Linked DNA regions of Canis lupus familiaris. The protein of the gene in region 1 interacts with the protein of each later gene in a pairwise test. Links are inferred from orthologs where the notes say so. Each region holds a gene or a part of one and is shown in the gene's direction. Other genes may lie near its edges.

Region 1 (4,087 bases):
GGTTCCTTTTTTTTTCCATGTCCTCACCAACACTTGTTTCTTGTATTGTTGATTTTAGCCATTCTCACAGGGGTGAGGTGATACCTCATGGTGGTTTTGATTTGCATTTCCCTGATGATGAGTGATGCTGAGCATCTTTTCACATGTCTGTTGGCCATCTGTATGTCTTCTTTGGAAATAAGTCTATTCAGGTCCTCTGCCCCTTCTTAAATTGGATTTTTTTGTTTTTCTAGTGCTGACAGTTGTATCAGTTCTTTATATATTTTGCATTTTAACCCCTTCTCAGATACATCATTTGCCCATATCTTTTCCCATTCACTAGGTTGCCTTTCTGTTTTGTTGACAGGTTCCTTTACTGTGCCAAAGCTTTGTATTCTGATTTAGTCCCAGGAGTTTTTGTTTGCTTTTGTTTCCCGATGTTGCATTCTTGAGCAAAATTTCTTCTTCGCTGGAAAACCTCAGTCTTTGCTCTTCAGGCCTTTCAACTCATTAAATGAGGCCTATCCACATTATCAAGGATTAGTAATGTCTTTTACTTAAAGTCCACAGAGTGCAAATGTCAACCAAAGCTCCAAAATAACTTCATAGCAACACCTAGACTAGTGTTTGATGGAATAACTGGGAACTATAGGCTACCCAACGAACAGATAAACTTGACCCTCACAGTGGTCTAATCATTAGGGAAGCTGAGAGAGAATTTGGACTTAGACCAGGGACTGCAGGGCCTGCCTGGGGACAGTGGGCCCTCCAGTGGCTACAGGTAGATCCCTTCTTTCCTGCCCTTCCCTCCTTAGATTCTCATGGTTCCTGCTCAGACTGACCCAAGGCATTAAAAGGCCATCTCCCCTGGGAACTCTACATTGGGGGGAAACAAGATGTGCTCTGTAGAGGATGCCTCCTGAGGGGAGCTGTGGCCTGAAATACTTGCCAGAGCTGGGCTTGCAGAAGCCACAACAAGTTTGGGATCTAACCCTGTTCTGGCTACTGACTGGCTTTGGGGTCCTGTGCCAGTATCTACCTCTCTTTAGAAATGATGGAGAGTAGATCCCACTGGCCCCTCAATGGGGCCAAATCATGTGACCCGAGAGCCAGGGTAGTTCTCACAGGCAAAGTTTCTGAGATAAGTATCAGAAACTCCTCCTCCTAAGTTGCTTACAGAGTAGCAGGGGAGAAGACTGTGAACCAAGCCAATAAGATACAACAGGAACACAAGGTGCTGGGTCCAAGGCCTGAGTCCTGTGGGAGAGTGTGGCTCCACCCCCATGGCCAGATATATCTTCCTCGAGCTCCTGCCCCTGGAAGAGCAGACTTTCCAAGAGTCTGCTCTGTGCCCGGCTTCCTGTGTATCCTGGCTATAGCTTAATAGCTAAGCGCTAGCTGTGATGGCAGGAGGCCCCCCTACTATCAAGGAGGAGATGGAAACATCCATCGCTGAAGAGCTGGTTCCTGGAAACTATGGGAAAAGCCAGGAGCACCTGGTGATAGCAGGTGAGGAGCCCCTGTAATGTCCCTTTCCTTTGGGTGTCTGCACCCAGTCACATGTGTTGGAGAAGGTGTGTTCATGGCTGGGAAGAGTCATATATATGCAAGTATGTGTGGCTATGTGTGTGTCTGTGCCTTGGTGTGCGTATACCTGTATTTGTGCCTTGATGAACAGGAAGCTGGGGGGGAAAGGTATTGATGATGTGAGCATTTTGAAGCCTGTGAGAGAGTAGGATGGGATCCACATGTGTGGTCCTTATCTCCCCCTGTCCAAGCTACCACTGTGTTTATGGCAAAGTATCCAGAGCGCTCAATTTATAAGATCATTCAGACCAATTCTCTCTCCTTTTTAATGCCTTTTCCTCCTTTAGAGTAAAATCCAAACTCCTTTCCTTGATCTACAAGAGCCAGCCAATGCCACCTCCTCAATATATTTCATGCTGTGGTATGATGACCCACAGCACACTGCATTTATACTTGTCCTCATAAGACCCGAAGGCTGATTCTTCCTGATAGCCTTTGTGTTGACTGCTACCTCTGCCTGGGATGCTGTTTTCCTAGATTTTCCATGGCTGCCATCATTTTTGTCTTTCAGGTCTCTGCCTCACAGGTGTTTCTGGCTTTTCTAGAAGTAGCCCTTCCTTCCACCATGTTGCCCTGTTCTTATCATTTTGGGAGCATGTATCTCTTGATCTGAGTTAACACTGATAGATTATACCCATTTTGCACCCCTCACTTCAGCTAAGCACACATAGACAGTTGATTACTAGATTGCTGAGATCTTGTGTCTTGGTCATTGCTCTCCCTCCAGTAACCTAGCCCAGAGTTTGGCCCTCAAGAAATACTTACTAAACTTTTAAACAAATGAACAGACTGAGGCTTGGGATCTGCCAGGGGACAACAGTGAATGAATATTGAATGACTCCTAAGAAGTTTGGGTACCTTATCCTCTTTCTGGTGTGTCCTGTGTCCAGGAAGCCTTGGTATAGCCTCTATGGGTGTTTCTGGGGCCTCTCTTCTTTTGCCTAGAAATGATGGAGCATGGATCCCAGTCTGTGGGTGCTTCTCAGCGGCGACAGAAGGCGGATCCAAAGGCTGCTGGCTCTGCTGCAGGTCAATCGGGTTGGAATATGACTGGCAACCGGAGCAAGAAAGCGGTACTGTATGGAGTCCTTGGCATGCAGTGGCTAGGCTGGGGTTGGGACAACAGACTAAAGGGGCTCCAGCTTCATGACGGTAGGTTGAGCAGAGCCAGATGTTGACTTGGGGCCAAAGGAAAAAGCTTTTGTGTACCAGTGAGGCAATGAAGGCAGGGATGTCCTTTGAGAGGTCAGGGCCATCCTTTGGTAGGCTGGGAGCTCAACCTTGGGTTTCCAGAACACCGGATTCACATATTCCTTGGGGACTACATATACACTTTATTTTGCAAAACTCTATTGTGTGTGAAATGACACTTTCCTTTATAAATAAATAATTCTATATGTATATTTCCTTCCATATCTATATTATCTATATTATCTATATAAATTATAACTATATAAATTATTTAATTATCAACTAAATAATCAGCCTGGAATCATGAGAATCATTGATGAATAAAAGGAAGGAAGGATAGGAAAGAAAGAATCTGTCTGTAGCCATTGGAGGCCCCACTGTCCCCATACAGGTCCTACAGTCTCTGGTCTAAGTCCAAATTCTCCCTCAGCTTCCCTAATGATTAGATCACTATGAGGGTCAAGTTTACCTGTTTGTTGGGTAGCCTGTAGTTCCCAGTTATTCCATCAAACACTAGTCTAGGTGTTGCCATGAAGGCATTTTGGAATTTATTTTATTTTATTTTTATTTTTATTTTTTTAAAGATTTATTTATTTATTTATGATAGAGAGAGAAAGAGAGAGGCAGAGACACAGGAGGAGGGAGAAGCAGCTCCATGCACCGGGAGCCCGACGCCGGACTTGATCCCGGAACTCCAGGATCGCGCCCTGGGCCAAAGGCAGGCACTAAACCGCTGAGCCACCCAGGGATCCCCATCATTTTGGAATTTTAGTTAGCATCTACACTCTGTGGACTTTAAGTAAAAGACATTAGTAATCCTTGATACTGTAGATGGACCTCATCTACGCTATTAAATAGAAATATACATACATAAAACAATATGATTCTCAAGTCTGGAAAAAGATTAAGACAAGTTAGGTTCCTATGTTCCCTGGCTGTTAGGAAATCCAATCAATTGAATCTGACCATTATGTAGCCAATCCTTTAAAGTACCTTTAATGTGGGTTAAGAAAAGCTCTGGAAAACTGGCAGGTACACTGTTACAAAGGATACTGGGAAAAGGTGGTCATTTTGGAGAGGAGGGAGACCTGAGTGTTCTAGGGAATCCCGTGAGATCTCTCACTGTGTAGCCAATCCTTTAGGTTACATTCACTGCTAAGTGAGAAGAAGCTTTGGAAACATGGTTGCTATACTGTTGCAAAAGTTGCTGGAAAAAGAGAACCCAGTTGGAGAGGAGAGGGACCTGACTGTTGAAGGGAGTCATCTGAGTTTCAAGTTCTGTATCCAATCTGTTCCACACTTTCACTGTGAGGGAGGGAAAGCTTTAGAA
Region 2 (3,500 bases), on another chromosome or scaffold:
TGTGTCTCTAATAGATAAATAAAATCTTTTAAAAAATAAAATAAATAAATCTGCATTATAAAAAGCTAATTTTCCTTTTTATTTTAGGGTGGAATTGCTTTTGTTGCCATAAAAGGAGCATTCAAGGTTTACTTCAAACAACAGCAATATTTACGTCAGGCACACCGCAAAATTCTAAATTATCCAGAGCAAGAAGAAGCATAAAACTTTGACTTCTAGTTATTCTGCAGTCCTTTCATCCTTAATGAGTCTGTTGTGTTGTTCTGATTCCATCATTAATGCACAGTAGTGGAGACTTATGATAAGCTGCTGCTCATATTTTTAAGAAATATAATAAAGCACTTAGGGCAGGGGAAATCCTCTCAGTAATCACGGAACCTGAGGTTGTGATTTGTTTTCATTGTTTTGTATGTACTTCTTTTATGGCAGTCATCTGAACCATTATCTTAGCATGGTAAACCTGGGTTTTGTTCATATTTTCTCCAGATAGAAATGTAAAGATCAAACTGTGCAAATATTTAAAAATGCACATGCTGTTTTATTCAAATGCCTCTTTTGTACGTGTTCATGTTCAGTGTTTTCTTAGAATCAGCAACTCAATGAAGGTACTATGAGGATTTTTCTCACTGGCATAATTTGATTACATGCTAAACAGGAGTATATGTTAATATGAGGATATGTAAATTAGTTATAAAAAATAACAAACCAAAAATGTATGTAAACATTCAAATTATTATCTGAACAAATGCGATTTTGTTGTGTTTTTCTGAACCCATGTGACGTCCTCCAAAATGTGTAGGGTAAAAATTCACAGGGCTTCCAAATCACTTTTTCACTATTAAATTTTATTTATATAATGTTGACATCTCATAGTTCATAATGTAATTTTGACTCATATAGTCATAATTACCGTGTGTGTGTGTGTGTGTGTGTGTGTGTGTGTGTGTGTAAAAGAGAGGGAGAGAGTCATCAGGTCCTTCAATCACTGGAGTAAGGTTTTTAAATCCATATTTCTAGAAATTAGAGCTGTCAGTTTATAGTAGTTTGAGCACAGAGAACGATTTGCAAAAAAAAAAAAAAAAAAAATCAATAAAGTTCTTTTACTCTTCTCTTTCATTGATTCAGTTATTCAGGTATTTGTTGATCACCTCCTATTTGCCCAGGCATTATACAAAGTGCTGTGGGAGACAATGGTGAACACGACAGACTTGGTTCCTGCTTTTATGCAGTTTACCGTCTAGTTTCAACAGATAGAAAACCAGCAGTGAGTAAACCAAGGTGAGGCCTTGAGCTCTTTGTTTTTATACCAGTCAGTGAGGAGATAATTATGAAAACAAGAAGTCTTGAGTAAATATTGAGGTTATTGTTTTTGGCTTAAATCAGTTTATTATAAAAACCAGTACTAACATTTTTAGATTTTAATTGCTTGTCATATTGATGAGGTTAGCACCTTAATCACTGTAACTAGTTTTATGTTCATTTTTAAAAAGCAATTATTTATTTTAAGCCATCTTTAATAGTGGCCTTTTTAATGTTGTTCAGCAATCTGGATGGTCTTGCAGTTATTTTCACTAATTAAAATTAAGTTTTTAAAAGATAGTTCCAAAAACTGTATTGAATTTCTTGTTCACAGTATCTAATGCATGACAATAATTAACGTTTCCCTTACTGATAAGTGGCCACTTCTTTTTAGGAGTGTAGCAAATATAGATTGAGCTATGTTAGATTGCAATAATGTATGTTAACTTTAGTAATTTAAGACTGGTACCTTTCTATAGTATGAATGTCTTAATTCTGTGTTATAAAGTTTATGTGAATGGCTGTTGAACAGAGTTGTAATTATTTTGGGAGGAAGGGAATATTTGACTGACAGTGAGCCTTATTAAGAACACTGCTATAGTTCTGAAGGGGAAATATAAAATCTATGATTATATATAAAAATAACTTAGATTATATAGCTGTAATTATAAAATATATTGGCTTTTCTTTAATTTTCAATATAAGAAAGACATAGTAGATATTTCCTGCATAATTTTGTTATATAGAACAACTTTTAGGCAGCCTTTAATAAAATTATACAAGCACACCGTTCCCCAGTTACTACTTTGTGGCCAAGATGGAGGGAGTAGCTGTTTACATCTACTGGCATCAGGGCTCATGAGTGCCAGAAAAACAACTCTAATCCTTTTGGGGGGTGGGTGCAGCAGGGAGGGGTTTCTAGGGCTGTGGGGAGGGAATTGCAAGTGCCTGGGAACCAGAGAGGCCTCTAGCCCTGGAATTTAACACTCTTAAATCTAAAAAACCTTAGCTCAGAAAGTACCACATACCAGTCTTCAGAAAGGTGACCTATACCACTATGAACAACTTAAGAGCTGACTAAAGTTGATAGACCTGGGTTCCAATTCTGATTCTGCTTTTACTAACTGGATGTATGACAATGGCCAACTGGCTGTCTCTCAGCTGCAGTTTTCTTCATCTCTGAAATACAAGTAATACTTCTATCTCAGAAGACCATTTCTAGGATTAACTGAGAAAGGAACAGAGGCACTTTAGGCTTGAGACAGGCCCTACAGAGCAGTAGCTGTTTCTTAATTGTTAAGTAGTCTTTTCATGCTCTAGGAAAAGGGAATGAAGAGGTAAGAGAATGGTGTTAGGAGACAGATTAAAGGGATGTTGTAGACTTTGGGATGGGTAGGTATATTGTGTTTTCCAGTTGGGTTGGGTGGGTATATTTTGTGTTTTCCCATTTATTTTCACATTGCTTTACGGTGTTATTTCTATAAACTTCAATGTTTTAAACCTCTTTTATAAAATTCAGTGACAACTAGTAGAATTTTCTTCTTTGCAGAAGTTAACTTATCTCCAAAGTGGCTGAAAATATTGTTCATCAGTACATGATTATCAAATGACTGTGAAGAATATAAAATTAAACTTAGTGACTTAATTAGTCACTGCCTTGCTAACTGTGCTGTAATTTTTTTAAACGTCTTGTTTTTAATATAGCAGACTATCTCAATAGTGGCTGGATTAGGTTAAATAAAGAATTTTTATGTTCTCTAGGTGTACTTTGTCTGTTGAACAATTTCCAAAGCATAATCTGTTAATTCTGTACCTAACCAATTTTTTAAAATTTTAGTTATCAAGATACTAGATTTTTCTTTTAGTAAAAATCTGAAATTTTAAAAAACTAAAGAGGAATTGTCTTAATACAAGCAGGCTAGCCTAAATTCCAATTATGTTTTGATTTTTTAAAATGTATACTCAGCCACTTGAACTATGATTAGATAAGCAACCACATACAAGATATGTGGGTGGCCTCATGCTACAGGGTATCTTAAAAGTATATTCAAGTGGGTTAGAAACACATTTAAAAAACAAGTTGGGGGATGCCTGGGTGGCTCAGTGGCTGAGCATCTGCCTTTGGCTCAGGGCATGATCCCTGTTTAGGGATCGAGTCCCACATCAGGATCCCTATGAGGAGCCTGCTTCTCCCTCTGCCT
Region 3 (3,500 bases), on another chromosome or scaffold:
AAGAGGTGGGGGAGGGGTGATGCCAATAAAAACATTAACAGTTGGGACAACCAGACATTACATTCTTCCCGAATGGTGCAATATGACGTGTACAGCACCCGTGAAATCTTCCTGCCAAAAGATTGAACGGGAGCCTGGTCAGGGCCCTGGAGCTACCCACTTCTGCAGAGGAAGTAAAGAGGTGGGAGGAATGTGGTGAGCATCCAGCACAGAGAATGAGAACTCAGGAAGCCAAATCCTAATGCACCAACTCCACAGGACAAATAACCTGATTTCCTAAACAAAAGAAGGGCCCCCAAAATGTCGGGGAGGTGAGCAACCACTGTCAGAGGAAAAGAACTGAGACATTTCAGCCAAAAACCACAGCAGACCTTGTTTGGATCCTCATGTAAAAGACTCAATGTGAAAAGATCTTGTGAGACAACCAAAATGAAAAAAAAAAAAAAAAAAAAAACAAATTCTATATGCGATAGTAAGGAATTATTACTTTTGTTAAGAGTGATAGTTGGTATTGTGAGTTTGGTAAAGTAAAAAATTCCTTAAGCAGGAAATTAAAATGCCGAGAGTCGTTCCAGATAGAAATAATAGAATACCTGGCATTTGCTTTAGAATCATCTGTGAAACGAAACAAGACAAAAAACCTTGGAGGAGGGCAGCCCAGGTGGCTCAGCAGTTTAGCGCTGCCTTTGGCCCAGGGTGTGATCCTGGAGACCCAGGATCGAGTCCCACGTCGGGCTCCCTGCATGGAGCCTGCTTCTCCCTCTGCCTGTGTCTTGTCTCTGCCTCTCTCTATCTCTCTCTCTCTCTCCCCCTGTGTCTCTCATGAATAAATAAATATTTTAAAAACAAACAAACAAAACAAACAAACAAAAAAAAAAAAAAACCTTGGAGGATAGGGAAGAAACCAGGGAAATGTAAATAATTACTGAAGTTGGCTGATGAGTAGTGGGAGTCCATTATACTGGTATTTTTACTCATGTGTGTGTGAAAAACATGAAGTTTTGAAAATATCTTAAAAACATGTATTTTACATTTCCTGAACATCGTTCCATAAGTGCAGGGTGCTATTCTGAATGCTTTGTGCTTAGTAGCGTGTGTTTGCATGAATTACCACCTGTATGACTTGGGGGGTGGGGAAGCAGGCGGTGGGCTAGGGGTGGAGGTTGCTTAACCTGTCTTTACCTTCACAATACTGCAGAAGAAATGAGGTAACACTTGCAAGGTGTTCAGGACAGGCTAGCAGATACTGTTACCAGCCCTGTGAAGTACATTTGTGTACCCAATGATGCACAGAGAAATCAAACTGGGACCTCATAGGATGGGTGGAGGGGTTAAATGAACCCAAACCTATAAAGTGCCCGAGGCCTGTCATGGCATGTCAGCGGTTGAGAAAATGCCAGCTGTGGGTACTAATATTCCCATTGGCTGAAGTGGACTTGACGGGTCTTTTCCTTCTTCCAGAACGGGAAGCTGCTGGCTGAACGGGATGGAGTCAAAAGGAGGAGTGAGGAGCTGGCCACAGAGAAGGAGGCTTTGAAGGTGCCACCCCTCCCTGGTGGCCATTTTATCAGTTTCAGCCCCTCTGGCCTCGTGAAAGCCGGGGCCTTCATCCAGCCATCAGGCTCCCAGGGCTCTGGGCAGCTCAGCTGCAATCCCTCTTGGGATAGCTCATGTCCAGAGACATCGTGGGAGGTTGAGAGGGGCTTGGGAGAGTTGGGTGGGCTGGGAAGGGCAGCAGCACTAGCTGAGGCCAGTCCCAGGAGGCTGGACAGATGGACAGGCTCCTTCCTTGGCAGTGGCAGCTCTGTGAGTGTGAACGCCTCATTTGCCAACGAGATGCTGTCCTCTCCGAGGTGAGAGGCCCCAGGGGGTGGTGAAGGACATTTACCTCCCATGTGCTCCCGGCTATCCCCTGCCCCTGCCCCAAGGTCTGGAAAGGGAAGTCCTGCCTGGGTCTCATCCCCTGGATAAGCAGCCTGGAGGGGTCAGAGGGTTCCCTGCACCCAGGGTGGCAAGTATGTCCCTGCAGGATTTAGAAACCTGGCGCTCTTCCCCCTGGCCCAAGCTCTTCCCTCAGACTCACCCTGCCAGTCTCCCCTAGCCCTGCCTCAGCATCTTTGCGGGGCTGGGCCCAGTCTCAGGGGGCTTTGGGCTTCTCCAGCGCACTCACCACGCTGAGGGTCTGGCCAAGACGTTGGAGGAGTACAGAACAACCACCCAGGTACCCGACTGCCTTCCTGCCCACCCGTGGCCCCCTGCCTGGCCCCACTCTTCTGCCATCTCTGTGATTTTCTGCCTCCTCTTGCCCCTGTCTCTCTTTTTCTGGAGTTGTGTGTGTCTCTCTCTCTACCTTTTCACTTGCCCTTTGTTTCCTTCCTCTCTCTCCCACCCTGCGTAACTCCATCTCGGGTCCAGTTTCATTCTCTGGGAGGGTCTTGTCACCACTGCATCTCCCCTGCTTATCTTTCTGTGTGCCTGCCTTTCTTTGATCTAATCTGTCTTTAGGGATAACTCTCCCCTCTGTGGGTTCTGAGGGTTCTGAGTCTCTTACTCCTCATGAGTCTTTTACCTCTCCGTGAATCTGTGGCCATGTATCCTGTTTTTAATCTTCCTGGCTGGTGGGCTACCCTCTGGGTTCCTGCTGCTCTCTAGCTCTCTTTGGCTTCCTGAGTTTCTGTCACTGCTCTCTTCCCCTTGTCCCTGGGCAAGACGCTTCTGGAGGAGCCCAGGGAAATCAGGGGAGTGGAACTGACTGTCGGAGGAGCCCAAGGCTGGGAGATGGAGAAGAACAGAGGGGCAGGGGTCCCCCACTCCCTCCTTTGCAGGAACTGAGGCTGGAAATCTCACACCTGGAAGAGAAGCTGAGTCAGACCCAGGAGGGGCCAGATGAGTGAGTGGAACATAAGGGGTAGAGGAGGTAGGAGGGGAGCCCCAAGGCCGGGAACCCTGACCTCCAGCCCCAATGTGGGCAAAGTAGCCACCCCAGAGGGGGTGTACTGATGGGTAGTGGGCAGGCACAAAGAGAGCCTTCCCCTCTTGACCATGTGCCCAGGCTATCAGAAGGGGCCCAAGTGAGAAGAGTGGGCTGGACCAGGCTGCTGCCCCCATCGCTGGGTGTAGAGATTGAGGCCATTCAGCAGGTGGGCCTGGCTCCTGGGGAGCACCCCAACCCATTGCCAGCCCCGGCTCTAACCCAGCCCTGATTCTCACCATACCCCATCCTCCCCCAACGAGGACCATCTCAATCCTTCACCTACATCATCCCCACCCCCATCCTTGGTCCTGCTGCCAAACCCTTCCCAGGCCCTGCCTCTACCCGCTTCCCAGCCCAGCCTCACACCAGCCCCTTGTCTCCTCCCACCCCATGCCTCAATGCCTCAGCCCATCTCCATCCCCATCTCTCACCCGACTTTTGCCTTCACCTGGCCCTCCCTGGCCTTAGAAAGGACTTCTCCTCTCCCAGAAACAAGAAGTGGCAGCCGCTGCTCTCTCAAGCCCTC
Region 4 (3,500 bases), on another chromosome or scaffold:
AACTTTGTTTCAGACAAAGGTCCTTGAGGACCTTGTCAGTCCCATTTTTCAGATGCCCAGTTGCCCGGCACATAATAAGGGCTCAGTAAATCTTCATTGAAAGACTGAAGCAGGATACCTGGATGGCTCAGTGGTTGAGTGCCTGCCTTTGCCTCAGGGTGATCTGAGGAGTGATCTCAGGGTCCTGGGATCAAGTCCCACATCGAGCCTGCTTCTCCCTCTGCCTATGTCTCTGCCTCTCTGTGTCTCTCATGAATAAATAAATAAAATATTTTTTTAAAAAAGAAAGACTGAAGCATACAGGTGCCCAGTGATAAGCCTGGGCAGGCCCTGGAAAAGGAGGAAGGAAAGACAGGCAGTGGTCAGGACTTAAGGAGGATCCTGAAGTGACAACAAGTCACCATATAGGGAAGTTGGGGTGGGGCAATGCTTTGAAAGGGAGAGTGGTACTTTGTGTGGTTCATTCCCAAGTTTAAGCATTGCCAGATACGTGGGTTCGGAGATTCTGTGTCTGTCATGTCTGGGGTGGAAATAGCACTCTGCAGAATAGCTCTGAGCATTCCTCAGAAGAGTGGAAGGTTCAGACAACGCGAGGAGCCTGAGCCAGTTAGTGATTCTTGACCACTCCCTTGACACACCCTAATTTGTTTAAGCTCTTAATGGCTCTTTGAAGGAAGTACTGTTATCACCCCATCTTAGAGCTGAAGGAGCTGAAGCTGGCAGTAGTGAAGCCACTTGCCCATGAGCATGTAGCTTTTTCCCTTTCTCCTTTAAACTAGATTACCAGTTAATTATAAAATGATATAATTCAGGAACAGGAATATGGAAAAGGTGCCTAGGGCAAGGTGTGACGAGAAGGCAAGGAGCTTCCATGCCCTCTGAGCCCACCACTCTAAGTCACGTGTTCACCAACCAGAACCACATAGCTCTTAATTAACAGGGCAGAACCTTCCCCCAAATCCTGGTGTCTGAGTCAGACTTTACCAGCGAGACATCATTCTGCCTCTGTTGCTAGAAGACTGTATTACTGTTGAATGGACAACAGTATGTCGGAAATGTTTATTTAAAACAGTAAGTGAATAAAACAGAAGGCGAAAAATAGCATTGCAAACTGGTTATCAGCATCTGAAACTGTATACATTAGGATTGGATGGGCGTTTTTGTTTTTTGTTTTTTTAAGTTATTGAAGAGGGGATCCCTGGGTGGCTTAGAGTTCAGCCCCTGCCTTTGGCCCAGGGGGTGATCCTGGGGTCCGGGAATCGAGTCCCACGTTGGGCTCCCAGCATGGAGCCTGCTTCTCCCTCCTCCTCTCTCTCTCTCTCTCTATCATGAATAAATAAATAAAATCTTAAAAAAATATAAAATAAAGTTATTGAAGAGTTTTATTTTTTTTAAGATTTTATTTATTTATTCATAGACAGAGAGAAAGAGAGGCAGAGACACAGGCAGAGGGAGAAGCAGGCTCCATGCAGGGAGCCTGATGTGGGACTCCATCCCAGGTCTCCAGGATCACACCCCAGGCTGCAGGCAGCGCCAAACCCCTGTGCCACTGGGGCTGCCCTGGATGGGCGTTTTTTGAGGAGAGAGATTTGAGTTTGGGGTTTTAGTTTAGGTTCTTTTTTTTCTTTTTTTTTTTTAAAGATTTATTTATTCATGAAAGACACAGAGAGAGAAGCAGGCTCCCCACAGGGAGCCCTATGCAGGACTAGATCCTAGATCCAAGGATCACACCCTGAACTGAAGGGAGACGCTCAACCGCTGGACCACCCAGGAGTCGCTAGTTTAGGTTCTACAAGCAGTTGTGCCTACTATGTGCTAGGCTCTGTACTAAAGCTGAGGCTGTGCAGGAGACCTTGAGAGCCCGTGCTTGCCTTCTGAGCTCACACTAGCCAACTTGCAGACTGGGAAACAGGAAACGACAGCACTGGATAACATAATAGGGGAAGCACTGGTACAAAATGCTTTGAGGGCAGAAAGCAAAGCTCAAAGACGGCTTTCAGACAAAGACAGCATTGGAATTGGGCCTCTCTCTGTGAAGAAGGGTGTTCCAGGCAGCAAAAACTGCAAGAGTAAAGGTCCAGAGGCTGGAGAGTCACTGGTGTGGACGGGTCTGGGACGGTACGGGGAGATAGAGAAGGGGAAGGGTGTCAGGAAAAAAGCCATCCTTGGGGACTTGAGCCTTATTCTGGAGGCAGTGAAAACTCCTGAAAGGTTTTAAAGTGGGGAACCAAAAATAAATAAATAAAGTGGGGAACCATCTGACTAAGATTTACTACTCTGGGTTCATTTAAAATCAAGGGGGAGGAACCCAGAACAGCAACTGCTTCCACTGCCATTCCAGATTGTGGGGTCTCCCCTTGGAGGGCACAGCCTGCTTGCCCAGCCAGTCTTAAAAAACACCTCAATAGCTGACTGGGCATAGCTGTGTTAGGAGTCAGAGACTTGCCTGTCTTGGGTAAAAGTAACCTAGGGGAGGAAAGCACTCCAGTCTCCAGGGGCTATACGGCCTCTTGAGTGAGTGAAGCTGGTTAAGCAAAGAACAGGCCAGAGATCTCTCAGTTGACTATTAAGAACGAAGCGCAGAGAGCTTATTTTGTACCAGGCACTGTGCTAAATATTTCATGTGCCCTATTTCATTTAATCATGTCAGCAACCCTGTGGGGTAACTATTATTACCTTCATCTTATGGATGAGAAAGCAGAGGCCTAAGAGGGGTTAGCTTGGTGGTTAAGAACTTGTGTTCTGTGGTCATGCTGCCTGGCCTTGAATCCTGACTCCGCCACTCAGTAGCCATGTGACTTTGTGAAGGTTCTTTCCTCACTAAGTTTCAGTTTCTCCACCTGTGAGAGGGGGACAGGTGGTACTGACGGCAGGCACATGGTGAACCTCCTGAAGTGCTTCCCTTTCTTTTCCTGAGATCTCACCATTAGTGAAATTGAAGCCAAATTCCAGCTTACCTCTGACTCCAAAGTCCTAGCCTCAGCTTCTTTGGTCTACTGCTGTTTTTGTTCTAGAAGTAAGAAAGGCTTTGAAATGGAATGTTTCTAGATCACAATTTGACTCATAAAAATGTAGACCTGACTAAAGGCCCTGACTGATTCTGACAAAGGCCAGTATGCTTCTGATTCCTACCTACTACCATGCCACACTCCCACTGTGGCCCAGGGGTCTTGGGGCCACCAATAGACCCTGATGTTCGGGGTTCCAGCAGGCTTGTTTGGGGTACATCTTGCTCTCCTGCCAACCCATCTTGCTCTCCTGCCAACCCTTTTCTCCACATTCTTTTTCCTCCTCCACCCCCAGTGAGAAAAAGCGCAAGCCTGCATGGACCGACCGCATCCTATGGAGGTTGAAGCGGCAGCCCCAAGCCAATCCCCACAACCAGAGGCTGCCAGTCCCCCACTTCTGCCTGTCTCTGAGGAGCTATGTCAGCCACATGATGTACTGCATCAGTGACCATAAGCCTGTCACCAGCACCTTTGACTTGGAGGTGAATTTCC
Region 5 (2,981 bases), on another chromosome or scaffold:
AAAGTGGGGGCCAGGGGAGGGGCATGTGAAGGTTCCCTGCCCCCCACCTTGCTCTGTGCCGCCCCTTGCCTCCCACAAATCCGGGGCCCGGTGGGCCAGGTGGGCCTGTGTATGGGGGTCACCACACGGCCACACCCCTAATTCCCTGTGCCCTCCCCACAGCAACAACCCCGACGATGTGGCCATGCGGCTGGCCTTCATCGGGGACGAGATGGAAGTGAGATGGATGCTTCCCCGCGTTGGCGAGCTGCCCGGGATGGCCATGTACAGGTGGTGCCCCCCCCAGCCCTCCACCTCCTGCCCCGCCCCTGCCCCTGGGCCACAGACTAAGCACAACCCAGTGCCTTCCTCTGCCTCTTCATCAAGCCAAGACTGTGCTTTTCCGAAAGGGTCTTGACTTAAAGTGCTGGTAGGAAGTGGTGAGCTTGGCGAAGCCGTGTGTCCTGCCGGGAGGCATCTGTCCTGAGCACACTGTGTACTTCCACCATTTGCCAGCATCTCTGGGTTCTCAAGGTGGGGATGTGGAAACCCTCCCCCTAAGCCAGAGCGACTGTGGTCTCCTGGTCCCCAGGGAGGCAGCCTTCTGTTGGGGTGCCTGGGCCTCCATCACAGCAAAGATCCTCCGGAGGGAGGACCGGCAGGTCCTTGGGCCGGTGAGCAGTGGAGCATTTTCCAGAACCCAAGACCAAAACCCCCGGTAGGCCGGTGGGTAGGGGAAGGAAACAGGAAATCAGATGCATTAGGACCAGAAATGGCCCGTGGAGAGAGAACCTCTGGTGGATCCACCCGGGGAAGGGGGTAGAGTGGTGTGGGGGGGAGGGGACGCCGCCCTCCTCTCCCCGCGGGGGTCCCCTGAAATAAAGGCCATCTCCGCCCCTGTTCCCTGCAGTAATGGCCCTGCTTCCCTGCCCATTTGTCTTACAGCTTGGCTTTTACCTACAACCAGACAGGCCTGAGAGGTGTTCTTAGAAGTTTCCTGGATGGTCTTGCTAACCTCAGGGAGAACATCCGCATCTGGAGCTTCCTGACCTTCCGGAACAGGGTAAATGAACCGTGAACTCTGTGACCTTGACTTACCCGCCTGCCTGCGGTGACACCTGCAGCCACGGAGCTGCTGCCCCGCAGAGCATGTCCTCGGGTGCCACAGACTGCTCCTCCCCGCCCCCCGTTGTCTTGTGGTGCCTGCTTGCCCTCGTTTCTCCCGGTTTTCAGCTTGGAGACCCCTGGTTTATCAGCTCCATGCTCCGGTTCTTTTTTTCTTTTTTTAAGATTTTATTTACTTATTAATGAGAGACACACACACACAGAGGCAGACACACAGGCAGAGGGAGAAGCAGGCTCCGTGCGTGTGGGAGCCCGATGCGGGACTCGATCCCGGGCCTGCAGGATCATGCCCTGGGCTGAAGGCGGCGCTAAACCGCTGAGCCTCCTGGGCTGCCCCCCACCCTATGCTCCAGTTCTCAGGCGTGTTTGCTCCCACACCCATGCTCCGGCTCCCCACCCACCCCCCGGGAGCACCTTCACCAGCCCCGCGTGAGCCTCCCTAACCATCCTCGCTCCTCTGCCCGGCAGGTGCCTCTCCTGAGCCTCTTTCCCGACCCTCCTTGTCTGTCCCAGCAGCACCGGGGACCGTCCCTTACCCTAGCTCAGCCCCCACTGGTGCCCACGGCGGCCTGGGTAGGCTTCTCCTCTGCCGCCTCCCGGGCCGTCTCCCCGGCCCACCTGTGCTCTGGCTTCTGGGTGCTGTCCCCACCTGTGAGCTGTGCTGTCCGGAGACGCTCCTGTGTCCCCGCCTCCCTGACCCACTCTCCAGCACCCTCTCAGCCACCCTGGTTCACCCCGTGCCCCTGAGCACACGTGGGGGGCACCTGAGCACCCCCGGCCCCGGCTGGAGGTCTCACCTCTCCCGCCCTTCATCCCACAGGTGTCCCCCAACCCGGGGCGCGGGCTGGTGCTGTCGCTGCTGCTGCTGCTGGTGCTGCTACTAGGCTGGGGCCTCCGCCTCCTCCAGTGATACCAGCTGGAGCCGCTGGGGACGGGGCTGGCCTCGCCCCCGCCCGACCGCCACCCTGGAGGTGGCCTTGCTGGTTTTGTTGTCTTTTTTAACTGTTTTCTGCTGATCCCTTTTTTTATATTTAAACTCCGAGTGCTGGGACACTACTGAGGTTTCATACTAGTTTTTTCTTTCTTTTTTGTAAGAGAAATGAATTCATTATACCTCGGGGGTCGTTACTGGTTAACTGCCCGCGCCAAGGCCTGGCTGGGCCGCTCTCCTGGCCTCAGCCCCTGAGGTGGCCTGGGTGCTGTCACTGCCACCACCACCCGGCAGGGAAGGAGCCTGGAGCCTTCCTCTGGCGGCGGGGGTTGGGGGGGGAGTGCTGGCCACACCCCCATGTCGGGAAGGCCCCTGGGCGAAGAGAAAATCTGCTGGAATAGATTTGATGGCTGAGGAGAGCTCAATAAAATGTTGTTTCCAGCTGGTCTCTGGTCCTCTCTGGGGTTTGCCGCCCGGCTCTGGCCCCTTGCTGGAGACTCAAGGGGGAGGGGGAGAGAGGGCGGGCGTGTGCAAGCACCTGTACGTGATCACACACCTGCAGGCTCTTTCCTGCACCTGCTGTCGTGAAGTTTGGCCCAACACAATCAGGTTTATGCCTTCTCTCGTCGTGCCTGGTGCCTGAATCTACCATTAGGGATTATTTCCTTTGGGCCTTCAGTCTTACAGCTGGGCTGCCTGCCCTCCCCAGGTTTGCTCATCCAGCACTCCCCGCTGGACAGTGCGGCCTGCAGGGAGAAGGGGCTAGATGAGGGGCACCCCCGTGAGGGTCCAGCCTGCCCCAGACCTGGGCCCAGTGCTGTTTCTAGACCCAGTCAGGTCCTCTTTCTGGAACTTGGGCTCTGACTGTCCCCCTGCCCCACCACAGTTCCCGTCTCAGATGCCAGCCCTGGGCTGGGCCCCCCCTTGCTCCAGCCCCGTGCCCACG
Region 6 (3,500 bases), on another chromosome or scaffold:
CAGAGGGAGAAAACTCCATGCATACTCTCTGCTGAGCACAGAGCTGGCCACAGGGCTTAATCCCAGGACCCAGAGATCATGACCCAAGCCAAAATCAAGAGTCCGAGGCTTAACCAACTGAGACACCCAGGCGCCCTTACTTTTTTTTTTTTTTTAAGATTTATTTATTTATTTATTTATTTATTTATTTAGAGAATGCACATGCATGAGAGTGTGCGTGCGTGCACGTGAGATTACATGAGCAAGGGAAGGGGCAGAGGAAGAAAATCTGAAGCAGACTCTCGGCTGAGCCCCCGGGAGCCCAGTGTGAGGCTCAGTCTCCCAACCCTGAGCTCATGACCAGAACTGAAATCAAGAGTCAGATGCCCAACCAACCCAGGCATCCCTAGTGATACTTGTTCATTTATTACACCTTCCATTTGCAGGGCCTGGGCAACAGGGAAGAGTTGGACCCAGGGACAGGATCTGGGGCTCCACAGAGGGGTGGGGAGCACAAGCTGGGGCTGGGCAGGTCCATCTCCCAGAAGGGCATGACACCACTCAGGAGGCCAGGTCCAGTCCCGGAGGAATTTTGGTGTCAGGGTGCAGGAAGACCTCTCAGGACCTGGGTGGGGGAGCAGTAGGGCCGGACCTGTGGTCAGAGGGTCCTTAGTGCCCAAGGCTGAGGAAGGAGGTGATCGTCCCCTCCTGTGCTGTGCCACCCTAAGCGAGTCGCCTGCCTTCTCTGAGCCTTCCCGCTGAAACGCATGCTTAACTGCAGCCCTGTGGCCATGTGGGGTGAAGAGGGCTCACTGGGGCAAGGGTCGGGGCAGGCAGCAGGCTGCCCAACCGTATACCCTTCTCCAAGCCCAGCGCTGGCTCGAGGCCCGCCTGGACCTCACGCCCGGCCTGGCCTGTCCCCACCCTGACAGGTGTTCTCCATCGTGGTGTTCGGCTCCATTGTGAACGAGGGCTACCTCAACAGCAACTCGGGAGGCGAGACGTTCTGCATCTACAACCGCAACCCCAGCGCCTGCAGCTACGGTGTGACCGTGGGTGTGCTCGCCTTCCTCACCTGCCTGCTCTACCTGGCCCTGGACGTGTACTTCCCGCAGATCAGCAGTGTCAAGGACCGCAAGAAGGCCGTCCTGTCTGACATTGGGGTCTCAGGTGAGTCCCCCGCCCCAGTGGGCGCCCCCTGGCTCCGCAGAGCCTGCCGCGGGCCGTCCTCCCACCTGCCTTCTCCTGCTTTCCAGATGAGGAGGCGCAGGTGGGTGAGGGGACCAGCAGGGGTCACGTGGCTGGCAGCAGGGAGTGGGGGGAGCGGGGGTGGGCCCGAGTCCCTGGAACAGCCCTCGGCTCCCCAGCAGGGAGTGGACAAGGCTTCCTGCCCTTCAGAGGTCTCTCTGGGCCACCTCGGGGGAACCATGCGACAAGTGACGCAGGGCTGCTGGCCTTGCGCTGTCCAGGCCCAGGGAGGGTGGGGACCTGACATGACCTGCTGCCCCTGTCCTCCGGAAACAGCCTTTGGCAGAGATGACCCGACCTCTTTCCCTGCGAGTTCTGAGAGTCTGATCACTGGGTGCTTTGGTTGAGGGGCAGGGAGGTCTCGGGTCTCACGTCTCTGGCTGAGACCCCACACACACCCCCAGTACCGGGCCTGAGACTCTCAGGATGAGCCTGGCTGACTGTAAGCAGTGAGGCCAGTCCCTGAGACTGGAAAGCTAGAATGACACGAATGGTTCTCAAAGTGTATTCCACGGAGCCGCTGGGTTCCCCAGCAGTGCCCATGTGGGAGATGTTGGGCCCTAGACACCCCAGCCCTTTGGCACACACGTTATCTGAGCAGCTCTGGGGAGACTCTGGGTGCCCACAGAAGATCTCATTGCCACGAACCTCCCCCTGCTAAACTCCCCAGGCCTCGGCTCTAGAGGTCCCTCCGTAACCTCGGGCTTTGGGCTTTGGGAGGCTGCAGGCACAAAAGGCAGTGCTCAGACCACCCCCCCCCGCCCCCGCAGCCTCCTTCTACCCACTTCTCTGGGAGGCTGCAGTGGGTGGGTGGGCTGGGGCCTCAGATCTGTGCTCCTCCCAGAATGCTGCAGGGTGGTCTGCGGTCCCCAGGCAGGGATTCAGCTGGGAAATCTGTGTTTGGCTGAGATGACAGAAATGCCCGCCCAAGCTGACTGACTTTTTTTCTCTGTTTCTCCTGCCTTCCCTCCCCTTACCGCCTCTGGCTCTCCCCGGGGCTGCTCCTGGCCTTGCTGTCTGCACGGCCGACCCCTTTCTGTGCCGTCTCTCCCACTCTGCGTCTGACCCACCTTCCCTCTGCTCCCCTCTCTGCCACATCCCTGCCCTTGCCTCTCCCTTTGGGGTTTGGGGAGCATGGGAGACGTGCTCCCGAACCTCTCCCTGTTCCTCCCCACTCACCCTCTCTCACACCTGGCCCCTTCTGCCTGGCCCCGGTGGACACCCCAGCCTTCTGGGCCTTCCTCTGGTTTGTGGGCTTCTGCTTCCTGACCAACCAGTGGCAGGTGTCCAAGCCCAAGGACAACCCGATGAATGAAGGGACAGATGCGGCCCGAGCCGCCATCACCTTCTCCTTCTTCTCCATCTTCACATGGGTGAGTACACGGCCCACCCCACCATACACCCGCACTCGCCCACCCCAGCCAGGGTCCCGAGCTGGTGGCCTGGTAGCTGAGCTGGGGACTCCATTCTGCTTCCTGGGGCCCATACGGCCCCCTGTTTCTCTCCTCGACACTCACATGAGCTGCTTCCTGAGGAAGGAGGCTCTTGCCAGTGCCAGCAAGGACAGTCACCTAGGGCCAGTAGACCCGCACTTTGGCACAGAGCACCCCTCCAGTGATCACAAACGTCCCTCCCAACCACTCTGGCAGTTGGATCGTGGGCGTTTACTATAACCTGTTACAGACACAAGCAGGGACCCAGACGGGAAGATATGGCTTTGCAGTTCCGAGGCTGGGAAGGAGCCCAGGCCTAGGCGTCAGGAAACCTGGGCCACATCGTGGGGTGGCCTCCATCTTCCCATCTGTAAAATCAGGAGATTGAATTTGGGGAGGGAGGGTGTCACAAACCCAGATGCCCACGGGGCAGGTGGGCAGCATATGAGGAATGATGAGTGGACCAGGTGGCAGGTACCTACCCCAACAAAGGGCACCCTCGACCCCTGTTCCAAAGCAGAAATGGGGATCCACACAGGCCAGGTCTCCTGTTTTCCAGAGAAGCCAGAAGTCTGAATTTCTGTGTGAAATCTGATCTTTATGTATCAGTAATTTATTCAAGTTAAAAAAAAAAAAAATACTGTGTGGGTCAAAGAATGTCTCTGGGCCCAACTGGCCAGATGGCACCTCTTCCCCTCTGCAGGCTCCGGACCAGGCTGGGCCCCTTCCCCACTGGTTCCAGGCCGCCTTGATGTATTCTCTTATCATCTCCCTCCTGCAGATATCTGGGGTCACCTTGGCTCCAGGCTCCCATCCCAAGGCTTCTCCCCCCACTGCGCA
Region 7 (4,054 bases), on another chromosome or scaffold:
TACGAAAAGGGCTGAACGACCAAGGGGGGAGGGTTCCCAGAGCTGTAGGTCCATTTCTCAACTCAAGCTCAAGCCCAACAGGCAGTGACTTAAGGAACAATCTTTGGGGACCAAGAGCTCAGATTTGGGCCACAAGTCTCCTGGGGAATGGGGACACAGATACTGAGCTCATCTACACTGGCCCATACCTGGATGGTTCCCATGGTGTCTACAGGCACACACTTCTCATTGTGTTTTACACAGACCCTGTCAGTCCCACTGAATGCTACACTATACAGCACACAGTCACCCATTGTGATGCATACACTGACATGCCCTATATCTCCTGTTCTGACATACTGTACACACCTCCTCACCCTTCACAGTTTCCATTTTTATCAGCACTGCACATGCAGACATTGAAAAATCCTACAGCCCTCAGACTTACACACACACACAGCCCCCACCATCCTTTAAAGCCTGCACACCACACCGGCCTGTGCACTATACACAGGGCGTCCACACAGAATTCCCCGAAAGAACCCTTTGCTCCCCAGGAGGTGGATCCCGCCCCTGGCAAGCTAAAATGAGCTGACCTCAGGCTTCCCTGCCCCTTTCTTCCCTCCCGCTGCCTTTCCCCAACGCCCACCCCCAGCTTCAGGAAACTTTCCATCAGATCCCTAAAAGGGGAAACCCGGGCTTCCTCGAGCCCTGCCCCCCCAGGCTCACGCAAGCTGCCCCCCCTTCCCCGGCTGGGCTCTCACCGGCACCCAGAGGGGAAAGGTCACCGTAGGCGGTCCCCTGCCTGCGCCCTGGGAGTGAACAGCTGTCACCGAGACCTAGGGGAGGTGCCGGCCCCGTGTCGCCGCAGGAGCGCAAAGGGGTCGCGGGGACGCTCGGGTCGAGCGTCGAGAAGCCGAGGCGGCGGCGGCGGCGTCTCCCGGGCCCGGGGCGGCCGAGCCTGGCGCTGGGGCGCGTGGAGCTGTCCGTTCAGCACCGGCGCGCGGCGCCCCAGCCCCACTCCCGCTCCGGCTCCCGCGGGCGCGTGCGGCGCGGGCCGCTGCCTCCCTCGGGGGCCGAGGGGCACGCAGAGCGGGAGGAGGGGGCTCTGCGAGCTGCGGGGCCGCGCAGCCACCTGTGAGCCTCCCGCGACCACGAGCGGCGGCGGCATCTCCGGCTGGACGCGGCAGGAGACGCTTGGCGGACCCCGCCCGCCGGCCCGCCGGGCGCACACACACAGGCGCACACCCGGGCGCACCCGCGCGCACACGCACAGCCGGCCGCGGCGGCCGCGGCGATGCCGACAAGCAGGTCGGGGAAGTTTCCCGCCGGCCTCGGCCGCGGGCCCCCGTGCTCGCAGGTAAGCGCCTCCAGAACGCGTGGGGTGAGCCCTGGCAGCCCGCTGGGTAAGGCGCGGCGCACGCGGCCCCGGGGCACCGCGCCAGGCGGGCGGGGAGGCCCGGGGCGGGGAGTGAGGGGCTTCCGTCTTGAGGGCCGGACGCAGGGGATGCCAGGCTGCCCGCCCCCAGCCTGGGCTGGCGGACCCAGGCAGCGAACCCCCCCCCCCGCCCCGGGGCTGCGCGCCGCCACCCCGCTCGGCCCAGCCCGGCCGTGCGCATCCCAGGGACAGTCCCGCCGGTCTGCGGCGGGCGGGCGGGGGCGTCTCCTCGGCCCGCCCACGCGCAAGGTCGGCTGCCTGCCCCCCGGGGCTCTCAGAGTAAAGCGGCCCACGGGACCCCCGCGGCGAGGGTGCAGGCGCGGCCACGCTCCTGGAATTCTACCCCCTCCTCCCGAGCCTTTCCTGGGGAAGGGGCCAAACCGCACGGGCCTCCCCCGTCCCGGAGCCCGCAGGCCTCGGATGCCCGCCCGGGGAGGGCTGAGCCGGCCGGGGACGCGCGGCGGAGAGGAGGGTCCCGGTCCCCGAGCGCCCCGCGCTCACGAGGCGTGACTCCCCCGCCCGCAGGTGTAGCGCCGCCGCGCGGCACGGGCGCCGGGAGCCTCCAGCATGACCCGCCGGAGCCCGTGGGACGCGAACGAGGCCAACGTCGAAGACGGGGAGATCCGCGTCAACGTAGGGGGCTTCCGGAGGCGGCTGCGCTCGCACACGCTGCTGCGCTTCCCGGAGACGCGCCTGGGCCGCCTGCTGCTCTGCCGCTCGCGCGAGGCCATCCTGGAGCTCTGCGACGACTACGACGACGCGCAGCGCGAGTTCTACTTCGACCGCAACCCCGAGCTGTTCCCCTACGTGCTGCACTTCTACCACACCGGCAAGCTGCACGTCATGGCGGAGCTGTGCGTCTTCTCCTTCAGCCAGGAGATCGAGTACTGGGGCATAAACGAGTTCTTCATCGACTCCTGCTGCAGCTACAGCTACCACGGCCGCAAAGTGGAGCCGGAGCAGGAGAAGTGGGACGAGCAGAGCGACCAGGAGAGCACCACGTCCTCCTTCGATGAGATCCTGGCTTTCTACAGCGACGCCTCCAAGTTCGATGGGCAGCCGCTGGGCAACTTCCGCAGGCAGCTGTGGCTGGCGCTGGACAACCCCGGCTACTCGGTCTTGAGCAGGATCTTCAGTGTCTTGTCTATCCTGGTGGTGCTGGGGTCCATCATCACCATGTGCCTGAATAGCCTGCCGGACTTCCAGATACCTGACAGCCAGGGCAACCCTGGAGAGGACCCCAGGTTCGAAATTGTGGAGCATTTCGGCATTGCCTGGTTCACGTTTGAGCTGGTGGCCAGGTTTGCTGTGGCCCCTGACTTCCTCAAGTTTTTCAAGAACGCCCTAAACCTCATTGACCTCATGTCCATCGTCCCCTTTTACATCACTCTGGTAGTGAATCTGGTGGTGGAGAGTACACCGACCTTGGCCAACTTGGGCAGGGTGGCCCAGGTCCTGAGGCTGATGAGGATTTTTCGCATCTTGAAGCTGGCTAGACACTCCACTGGCCTCCGCTCCCTGGGGGCCACCCTGAAATACAGCTACAAAGAAGTAGGGCTGCTCTTGCTCTATCTCTCTGTGGGGATTTCTATCTTCTCCGTTGTGGCCTACACCATTGAAAAGGAGGAGAATGAGGGCCTCACCACCATCCCCGCCTGCTGGTGGTGGGCCACCGTCAGTATGACCACTGTGGGATATGGGGATGTGGTCCCAGGAACTACGGCAGGGAAGCTGACCGCCTCTGCCTGCATCCTGGCAGGTATCCTGGTGGTGGTGCTGCCCATCACCTTGATCTTCAATAAGTTCTCCCACTTTTATCGGCGCCAAAAGCAACTTGAGAGTGCCATGCGGAGCTGTGACTTCGGAGATGGAATGAAGGAGGTCCCTTCCATCAATTTAAGGGACTACTATGCCCATAAAGTTAAATCCCTCATGGCAAGCCTGACGAATATGAGCAGGAGCTCACCAAGTGAACTAAGTTTAAATGATTCCCCACATTAGCTGAGAGGACTTGTCATCTTCAAACCCACACTGCTGAGTTGCCTCCTGTGCCTCTGGCACAGTTCAGGCACCTTGTGGTTATGGTGTAAGAAGTACGCCCAACCCTAAAGGGGAGAGATGCATGGGATATGCACCCCAGGTTGCTTTTACAAGTATTTAGAATCATTTTTAGAGGGTGTTGTGTCAGACACCATGCCTTTGCACCCTTCAATGAAATGACACTCACTGGTCTTTGCTTTGTGGGCATAAAATGTTCACCTTTCTGCCAGAGGAGTACCACCCAGAATGCTAATTTTTCTGTTTATTGTGTGCTCTACTCTAGTGCTCGTGGCCCAGTACTGTCTGTGAGTTGTTTGTGCTCTTGTCTCTGAGGTTGTCATGTGAGTTTTGTACAAAATGCTCCCACAAGTCCATCCAGTGAAAACACATCTGTGGGTTCAGCAAGAACGTGATGGGATTTTTGCTCAGTCAGGTGAAAACAAAATCTCAGTCCTTTAGCCACCGCTTTCATTTAGTTTTGTTACCAAAACAAAGAATGTGAAGTTAAGCACACATGACCGATGCAAGTCCGTGTGTTGTTTTTACAAATAATCTGTAGCTCTGTGGCTTGCATGGGCACACGGGTCACCTTTAGGA

Evidence for each region.
Region 2: the proteins of FATE1 (region 1) and MARCHF5 interact in binary tests that used the Homo sapiens proteins (3 or more experiments, as listed by UniProt). The two-hybrid records come from large-scale screens. The link is inferred for Canis lupus familiaris from reciprocal best matches to the Homo sapiens genes FATE1 and MARCHF5.
Region 3: the proteins of FATE1 (region 1) and KASH5 interact in binary tests that used the Homo sapiens proteins (3 or more experiments, as listed by UniProt). The two-hybrid records come from large-scale screens. The link is inferred for Canis lupus familiaris from reciprocal best matches to the Homo sapiens genes FATE1 and KASH5.
Region 4: the proteins of FATE1 (region 1) and INPP5K interact in binary tests that used the Homo sapiens proteins (3 or more experiments, as listed by UniProt). The link is inferred for Canis lupus familiaris from reciprocal best matches to the Homo sapiens genes FATE1 and INPP5K.
Region 5: the proteins of FATE1 (region 1) and BIK interact in binary tests that used the Homo sapiens proteins (3 or more experiments, as listed by UniProt). The two-hybrid records come from large-scale screens. The link is inferred for Canis lupus familiaris from reciprocal best matches to the Homo sapiens genes FATE1 and BIK.
Region 6: the proteins of FATE1 (region 1) and SYNGR1 interact in binary tests that used the Homo sapiens proteins (3 or more experiments, as listed by UniProt). The two-hybrid records come from large-scale screens. The link is inferred for Canis lupus familiaris from reciprocal best matches to the Homo sapiens genes FATE1 and SYNGR1.
Region 7: the proteins of FATE1 (region 1) and KCNS2 interact in binary tests that used the Homo sapiens proteins (3 or more experiments, as listed by UniProt). The two-hybrid records come from large-scale screens. The link is inferred for Canis lupus familiaris from reciprocal best matches to the Homo sapiens genes FATE1 and KCNS2.

Annotation. Positions count from the first base shown.
Region 1 is NC_049260.1:120,980,317-120,984,403, forward strand, and holds the start of FATE1 (fetal and adult testis-expressed transcript protein), read left to right. Parts: upstream 1-1,287; 5' UTR 1,288-1,382; coding exon 1,383-1,488; intron 1,489-2,511; coding exon 2,512-2,639; intron 2,640-4,087. UniProt on the Homo sapiens protein: Involved in the regulation of endoplasmic reticulum (ER)-mitochondria coupling. Negatively regulates the ER-mitochondria distance and Ca(2+) transfer from ER to mitochondria possibly implicating it in the regulation of apoptosis.
Region 2 is NC_049249.1:6,950,792-6,954,291, forward strand, and holds the end of MARCHF5 (E3 ubiquitin-protein ligase MARCHF5), read left to right. Parts: intron 1-87; coding exon 88-204; 3' UTR 205-3,055; downstream 3,056-3,500. UniProt on the Homo sapiens protein: Mitochondrial E3 ubiquitin-protein ligase that plays a crucial role in the control of mitochondrial morphology by acting as a positive regulator of mitochondrial fission and as an important regulator of immune response.
Region 3 is NC_049222.1:107,757,135-107,760,634, reverse strand, and holds part of KASH5 (protein KASH5), read left to right. Parts: intron 1-1,461; coding exon 1,462-1,539; intron 1,540-1,796; coding exon 1,797-1,853; intron 1,854-2,161; coding exon 2,162-2,221; intron 2,222-2,825; coding exon 2,826-2,890; intron 2,891-3,052; coding exon 3,053-3,140; intron 3,141-3,442; coding exon 3,443-3,500. UniProt on the Homo sapiens protein: As a component of the LINC (LInker of Nucleoskeleton and Cytoskeleton) complex, involved in the connection between the nuclear lamina and the cytoskeleton.
Region 4 is NC_049230.1:45,609,638-45,613,137, reverse strand, and holds part of INPP5K (inositol polyphosphate 5-phosphatase K), read left to right. Parts: intron 1-3,303; coding exon 3,304-3,490; intron 3,491-3,500. UniProt on the Homo sapiens protein: Inositol 5-phosphatase which acts on inositol 1,4,5-trisphosphate, inositol 1,3,4,5-tetrakisphosphate, phosphatidylinositol 4,5-bisphosphate and phosphatidylinositol 3,4,5-trisphosphate.
Region 5 is NC_049231.1:23,375,692-23,378,672, reverse strand, and holds the end of BIK (bcl-2-interacting killer), read left to right. Parts: intron 1-162; coding exon 163-270; intron 271-924; coding exon 925-1,042; intron 1,043-1,924; coding exon 1,925-2,014; 3' UTR 2,015-2,481; downstream 2,482-2,981.
Region 6 is NC_049231.1:26,653,415-26,656,914, reverse strand, and holds part of SYNGR1 (synaptogyrin-1), read left to right. Parts: intron 1-911; coding exon 912-1,149; intron 1,150-2,454; coding exon 2,455-2,600; intron 2,601-3,500. UniProt on the Homo sapiens protein: May play a role in regulated exocytosis. Modulates the localization of synaptophysin/SYP into synaptic-like microvesicles and may therefore play a role in synaptic-like microvesicle formation and/or maturation.
Region 7 is NC_049234.1:728,009-732,062, forward strand, and holds the start of KCNS2 (potassium voltage-gated channel subfamily S member 2), read left to right. Parts: upstream 1-1,254; 5' UTR 1,255-1,276; coding exon of another isoform or gene 1,277-1,927; intron 1,928-1,942; 5' UTR 1,943-1,984; coding exon 1,985-3,418; 3' UTR 3,419-4,054. Other genes in the region: proline-rich proteoglycan 2-like, read left to right, coding at 1,277-1,927. UniProt on the Homo sapiens protein: Potassium channel regulatory subunit that modulate the delayed rectifier voltage-gated potassium channel activity of KCNB1 and KCNB2 by altering their kinetics, expression levels, and shifting the half-inactivation potential to more polarized values.